Oryctolagus cuniculus: one gene and its partner. The protein of the gene in region 2 interacts with the protein of the main gene of each other region in a biochemical or structural test. Links are inferred from orthologs where the notes say so. Each region holds a gene or a part of one and is shown on either strand. Other genes may lie near its edges.

The links. The genes of interacting proteins can lie anywhere in the genome.
Region 1: the proteins of TRIM7 (region 2) and RNF187 interact in a test that uses a peptide from one of them, tested with the Homo sapiens proteins (2 studies listed by BioGRID, with this or other methods). The link is inferred for Oryctolagus cuniculus from reciprocal best matches to the Homo sapiens genes TRIM7 and RNF187.

The regions. Positions count from the first base shown.
Region 1 is NC_091437.1:510,726-514,148, reverse strand, and holds the end of RNF187 (E3 ubiquitin-protein ligase RNF187), read right to left. Parts: intron 2,253-3,423; coding exon 2,031-2,252; intron 1,474-2,030; coding exon 1,471-1,473; 3' UTR 566-1,470; downstream 1-565.
Region 2 is NC_091445.1:34,889,189-34,892,755, reverse strand, and holds part of TRIM7 (E3 ubiquitin-protein ligase TRIM7), read left to right. Parts: intron 1-409; coding exon 410-432; intron 433-701; exon of another isoform or gene 702-717; coding exon 718-833; intron 834-1,246; coding exon 1,247-1,303; intron 1,304-3,567. UniProt on the Homo sapiens protein: E3 ubiquitin-protein ligase that have both tumor-promoting and tumor-suppressing activities and functions in several biological processes including innate immunity, regulation of ferroptosis as well as cell proliferation and migration.

The sequences.
Region 1 (3,423 bases), on a different chromosome or scaffold from region 2:
CAGGTGCTTGGGCCATCTTCCTCTGCCTCCCAGGCGCAGTAGCAGGAAGTGGAGCAGCTGGGCCTTGAACCAGCACTGGGTTAGGGGAGGCCTAACCTGCGGTGCTGCAACACCAGCCCCAGCGTTCTGATTTTTAAAGAAATCTGTCGACTTGTTTTTACAAAAGGAGTCTTGTAAAAATAAACCCAGACTTCAGAGACTGTCAGTGCCCTGTGGGAGTTAGTTCTGACTGGCCATTCCTCTTCCCGCAGTGGTTTTGCACTTGGGGCTTCAGCTCCAGATTTCTACCCCACACAGCCGACTTCAGAGCTGCAACTTCAATCCCACCTCACAGCTCACGTTCTGTCAGGAGGAAGGGGTCACCGTCTACCCACGCCCCACCCTGCTCCTGGCTGAAAGGCACCTGCCCAGCTGTGTCTGGAGTGCAGGTGACTGTCCAGGCAGCAGTGGTCCCTGTCCCTCTCACAACAGCCCCATGGTAACCCAGCCTCACCGTCCCTAACAAGGGTTGTGGCAAGGGAGGCCCTGGACACACCCACACTGCCCACAGACTCAGGCAAACAGGCCAGGGCAAACCCACTTTATTTAGCAGCGAGAGCCCACGCAGCAGCAGGAGCAGGTCAGACTGTCAGGGTGGGACTCCTAAGGGCCCGTGAAAACGTCAGGGGCGGTGAATCTAAACACTCGCCCACATCTACGCTCCCTGACCTCGACTTTCTGAGGACTCTGCTGGGCGACTGCCAGTTGTGCTGATGACATGTGAGCGCCACAGCCACACCATGGCCACGCCACGAGTGTTGCAAACACAAGTGAGAAACGCTAGAGACAGACGAGGCAGGGAGGGGCTGCAGAAGCATGGGGGAGCCCCGGCACCCTGGGGAAGGTGGAGGGAAGGGGCACTGGGAGGCCTTGGCATCGGGGCAGATGGAGGAGAAATCAGAGTCGGGAGCTGGGAGGGGGATGCAGGCAGGGGGACCCGCAGGAAGGGCGGAGAACCTTCCCTTCCCCGTGCCCAAAGTCTCAAGTCCCGGCTTCCCCCCAGGGACCTCCCAGGGATCCCAGGCCAGGATGAGGGTCCCATGGGACAGCTCCATCCTAGGCACCCTTTGGAAGGTACAGGGTTTGAGACCCTTGGGGCAAAGCCAAGAACCTCAGCCATCCGGGGACGAGGTGAGGAGCAGGGGCTCTGACGGGAGAACAGGTTGTGGGGGCAGTGTGAACAGGATGCCTGGGGTAGGGGCGACAACTAGTCTCACGTCCATGCCCCAAGACCAGACTCTGCTGAGACAGGTAACTGTGCAGGGAAACCCAGGGCGGCGGGGGGAGGGGGCACCTGCGGAGCATCGTCCTCGGCCATCACTGACGGTGCCCACGGAGATGGAGGGGGTGGCGTCTCAGGGGAGGGCCAGCTGTGGGAGGCGGTGCTTTCTGCGTGAGCTACGCAGGGAACCGCCTGCTGCATCAGCGACGTCACTGCATGGGGCGGGGAGCAGAAAACAGAGTTGGAGAGAAGCAGAGGGCGGAGAGAGAGAGGCAGCAAGAAAGAAGATAGTCAGGAGAGAGAGCAAGAGAGAGAAGACAGAGCCGGGAGTTCCTCCCTGGTGAGGCACAGAGACACCTCCACCTCCACTGAGCCCCCCAGGCCCAGATCTCTGTCCCCCCACGGCCAAAACCTGGCTACCCACAGTCGTCACAACTGACCTGGAGGGGCAAGAGCACCTCACACAGGAGGCTGCTGGTCCCGCTCCCCTCCCACAGCCCTGGCCCAGGTGCGCAAAGCCCAAGCAACCAGGTGAGGTCAGGCCTCAGGGCAGAGGGTGAGGCAGCACCAACAGTGAGCACCCAGAGCTCAGGGTGCAAAGGCCCTCTCCCGTGAGAAGCCAGAGACACCCAGGACCCTCGATGCTGAGTGGACGACAGGGTGCGGCTTTAAGGCCCGCTCTCTGGCCGGTCAGCCTGCCGGCAGCCCCCTCAGCACCAGCCTCAGGTCTGCTCTGGAGCCAGCAGGCTCTTCCCCGCCCCGCCCGCACCTGCAACAGCATGCTGAGGCCCAGGTTCCGGTGCTTCTTCTCCAGCTCCGACACGGCCTGCAGCAGGGAGCGGAACCGCTCGGCGGGGTCGGCCTGCTCGTCCTCCGGGGAGCCCTCCTCCTTGGCGGCCTCCTGCAGGAAGTGCGCCTCCTCCTCAGCGAAAAAGGCCCGCAGCTTCTTGTAGTCGGTCAGGGCCTTCTTCCTGCGGTCCATCACGTGTCCCTGCAGGGGCAGGGCAGGCAGCGGTCCTCAGCTCCTGGAGCACCGAAGCCCCTCCCGCCCACAGTCAGCTGCCCCAGCCTGGGGAAACCACTGTTGGCTCTTGGGGGGCTGACAGCCCTGCAGCATTTAAGAAAAATGGCAGAGACAAGAATTTCACTCTGGCCTGCCTTCTGCTTCTTACAACAGATGAAATTCTCATGGGGAAGACGCTCCCTGCTCTGGCTTGAGGGTGTCCCTGAGGGTTCCAGCTGCAAGCTGAGGCTGGGGGCACAGCGCATCGTCAGGAGGCAATGAGGGCACTGCCCTCAGAGAGGATGACACTGTCCAAGAGACCTGGCTACAAAGCGCCAGGCTGGCCCTTGAGTGTGCTGCTTCCTTCCTTCTGGCAAGGGCGTCTCACCAGGGCCCACAAGGGGGCCGCGCTATCCTGGACTTTTGGTTTCCAAAACTACAAACTTCAGAAATCTCTCCTTGGGCCGGCTCATGCAGGTAAAGCCAGAATCCCCTGTGGGTGCCGGTTCATGTCCCGGCTGCTCCACTTCCAATCCAGCTCCCTGCTAATGTACCTGGGTAAACGGGAAGATGGCTCAAACACTTGGGCCCCTGCACACATGTAGGAGACCTGGATGAAGCTTCTGGCTCCTGGCTTCACCTGGCCCAGTGCTGGCCATTGACACCATGTGGGGAGTGAATCAGCGAATGGAAGATCTAACTTTACCTTTCAAATAAATAATCTAAAAAAGAAAGAAATCTCTTCTTGGGCTGGCACTGTGATGCAGTCTGCTAAGCCTCCACCTGTGGTGCCAGCATCTCATATAGGCGCCAGTTCAAGTCCCGGCTGCTCCTCTACCAATCCAGCTCTCTGCTGTGGCCTGGGAAAGCAATGGAAGATGGCCCAAGTGCTTGGGCCCCTGCATCCACTTGGGAGACCCAGAAGAAGCTCCTGGCTCCTAGTTTCAGATCGGCCCAGCTCCAGCTGTTGTGGTCATTTGGGGAGCAAACCTGCAGAGGAAGACCTTTCTCTCTGTCTCTCCCTGTCTGTAACTCTACCTCTCAAATAAAAATTAAGAATCTTAAAAAAAAAAAAAAAAAAAAAAAGAGAGAGAGAGAGAGAAAAGAAAAGAAAAAAAGAAATCTCTTCTTTATACAGCACCCAGCCTGGGTATACCAT
Region 2 (3,567 bases):
GGTCACAACCCACCAGATAAACTTTGAAAACCACAAGTGGATCAAGAACAACAATTTAAAAAGATACTGGTCTAAAAGACTGAGTTCTGTAAAGGCTGCAACTGATCTTGGGTGGGTTTGAAGAAGGAGGCAACACTAAGTCTTACCAAATGGCTCAAGAGATGATTCTGTAACAAAGGAGTGCTGTAGAGCTGTGTTGAGGCACATGATTTCCTTACATTGATGAGACACACAGTAGCCAGCCACAGCTGGAAGCCTTTTTTACCCAGTTTCTATTCAGGCTTGAGACCTGGTGTACCTGTGTATTGCATATTCTTTTGGAAGGAGGACAAGGAGAAAATTTAGGTTTCTGAAAGGTGAATGGAGGTAACTTGATACTGATTTGATTTTCTTCTATCTTGTCTTTTAGGAATTCAAAAACACACTAACCAGGTGAGTGAGCCTAACACTTTCTTGGGCCTCTCTGTGCTGCTCTTCTCCTTTCTCACTGAGAACTCTCTTTGTTTTTCATCTCCTGGCCTCTTGTTTGCTGGTCCCTTCAGCTTGCTTACCTGGCCCCTTTCTGAGGTGGCTTCAGCTTGCTTACCTGGCTCCCTTCTGAGGTCCAGCTTTCTCTTTTCCACCTTTCTGCCAAGAGGACCATGTCATCCTAGTCTTCATAGCCCAGGGGGCATGAGATACTGTTCTTGGGCCTTCCTCAGGGTCCCTGTCCTGCAGGTGCAGCAATGTGCCTGGCCCCAAGCCAACTACAGTCTCTTCTGAGTTGAAGAATAAGGTCTGGAATGTTTCCCTCAAGACTTTTGTCTTAAAAGGGCTGCTGAAGAAGTTCAAAGGTAGGGGCCTTGGTGTGGGTCAGGCCATGAAATGTGGATGGCAGTGGTGTGTGTGGTACTTCAGGGGTCCTGAGTGTACCTTTTCCAGAACCTGTGAGAGAAAACAAAAACTGGGGTGTGGGGAGGCCCTGGTGGGAAATCTATTCAGCTTCCCTAGGACACAGAAGAATGAGGAGGAAGAGCTAGGTCAGACCAGCTCCAGGCAAGAGAGGGAATTGGGGGAGGCAGAACTAAAATGCCTGGGCAGCTGCCCCCACCTACCCCTCTCATGCTTGGTCCAACAGCTGCATATCAACTCCTGGTCTCTAGAATACCTAGGGAGGGAGGGAGCTGATGGAATTTAAATGTCAGAAAAGGTGGCGTCCTTGCCAGGCAATCTCTTTTGTCATTTGTACTTTGAATTTTTCCCTTAGAGGATCTTCGAGGAGAACTGGAGAAGGAGGAGAAAGGTATGGACAGGGATTACGATGGTGAGTGCAGAATCCATTTCCTGCCTGTGACTTGCCTCAAGGACCCTGCCAGTCTGCTTTCTTGTTCCTTTTGTCCTTGCCCTGTCAATTTTGATGACCTCATCAAGCAGTGGGGCCTGTTGGCCTGTAAGCTGTGGGTCAGTTAGGAGTAGGATTAGGGGAAGCTTGTCAATTGTCTGGATAAACCTCTGTCCCCTGTCCCTGCTTCAAGACAGAGAATGTCTCTCCTGAGGATGGGGGTTTTATGCTGACAGGGACCCCCAACAGTTCGAGGCCTGGCTGCTCCACTTTCAATCTAGCTCCCTGCTATAGCCTGGGAGGGCAGTGGAGGATGGCCCAAGTCCTTGGGCCCTGCACACACATAGGGGACCTGGAGGAAGCTCTGAGATCCTGGCTTTGGATTGGCCCAGATCTGGCTCAGGCCTTCGTGACCATTTGGGGAGTGGACAAGCAGATGGAGTATCTCTCTCTCTCTGCCTCTGCCTCTGCCTCTCTGTGACTCTGCCTTTCAAATAAATAAATAATCTTAAGAAAAAAAAAGAAAAAAATAAGTTCAGCAGGAAGTCAGGTCAGTGATCCCATATGGTAACAGGAAGGAGGATAATTCTTATTCCTGCAGAACTCTGGAATGTGTGGGATCCAAACTGAAAGGAAGGGAGTAGAAGGCACACAATCCTGATGCTGATGGACAAAGTCAGAGTTTCCCAAGGTAGAATGTAAACCAACTGAAATGATGCTCCTCTTATGCTCAGAGCCTTGCAATGGTCTTTCTCACTCAGGAAAGGCCTTCAAGTCCTTAAGGGGACTGCCCTTACTGTATACTCTCCTCTTCACTTACTCTGAAGCTGCACACCCTCCTTGTTATACCTAGAACGCACCAAGTACATACCTACCTCTGGGCCTTTGCACTGCAGTGGCTGCCTGGCTTCTTTTCTTTTCTTTCTTTTTCTTTTTTTCAGATTTTTTTGTTTGTTTGTTTGAAAGTCAGAGTTACAGAAAGAGGGAGAGACAGAGAGATCTTCCATCCACTGGTTCACCCCCAAATGGCCACACAGCTAGGACTGGACCAGGCTGAAGCCACGGGGGTCACAGATTGGAGCCCATATAGGATTCTGGCATTGCAGAGTGGCTTTACCAGCTATCCACAACCCTGACCCTACTGGCTGCCTCTTGGCCTGCAACACGCTTCCCCCAGATAGCTGCTTGGTTGGCTTCCTCATCTTTTTTATGTCTTTGCTTACCAATAAGACCTACTCTGGCCATTCAAGTTGAAATTGCAACCTGTTATCTTGATTCTTCTTAACTTCTATGTTGATCATTTATTGCCTCTTTCCCTACTAGAAAATAAGCTCCAGGAAGGTAGAGATACTTAGCTGTTTTATTCTCTGTGGTTATTTGCAGGGCCTAGAACAATGCCTGGAACATAGTAATGCTCAGAATAAGTGTATATATTCGAAATTTTTATTATGAAAAATGTGGGGGCTGATGTTGTGGCACAGTGGGTTAAACCACTGCCTGTAATACCAGCATCCCATATTAGAGAGCCAGTTCAAATCATGGTTATTCCACTTCTGATCCAGCTCCCTGCCAATGTACCTGGGAAAGTAGCAGAAGACAGCCCAAGTGGAAGTTCCAGGCTCCTGCCTCAACCTACCCTAGTCCCTGTTGTTGTGACCATTTAGGGAGTGAACCAGCAGATGGGAGATCTCTTTGTCTCTTCCTTTCTCTGTGTCACTCTGCCTTTTAATAAATAAATCTTTAAAAATTTTTAAGAATAAAAGTGGAGAAGAGAGCATAGCAAATGTATGAACTATAATATATCATCAGCAGTTATCAATTCTTGGCTAATATTTTGATAATCATCACTACCCGTTTCTTCCTACTGATTATAAAGAAAATAACAGATAACAAATCATTTCCATAAACATCCTAGTATGTTCTCTCTAAAGACAGACTTTTAAAAACAACCACAAAACTATCATCACACCTAGAACAATTAATGATTCTCTACAGTATCTAGTGTTCCAATTTCTCCAATTTTCTTTTTCATACTTTATTTATTTTCACTTTTTTAATTGAAAGGCAAAGAGACAGTCAGGGTTGGGCCAGGTTGAAGCCAGGATCCTGGAATTCTATCAGGATGTCCCACATGGGTGACAGCGACTGAGTACTTGGGCCATTATCTGCTGCCTCCCAGGATGTGCGTTAGCAGGAGGCTGGTTGGGAAGCAGGGGAACTAGGACTGTAACCAGGTGCTCAGATTT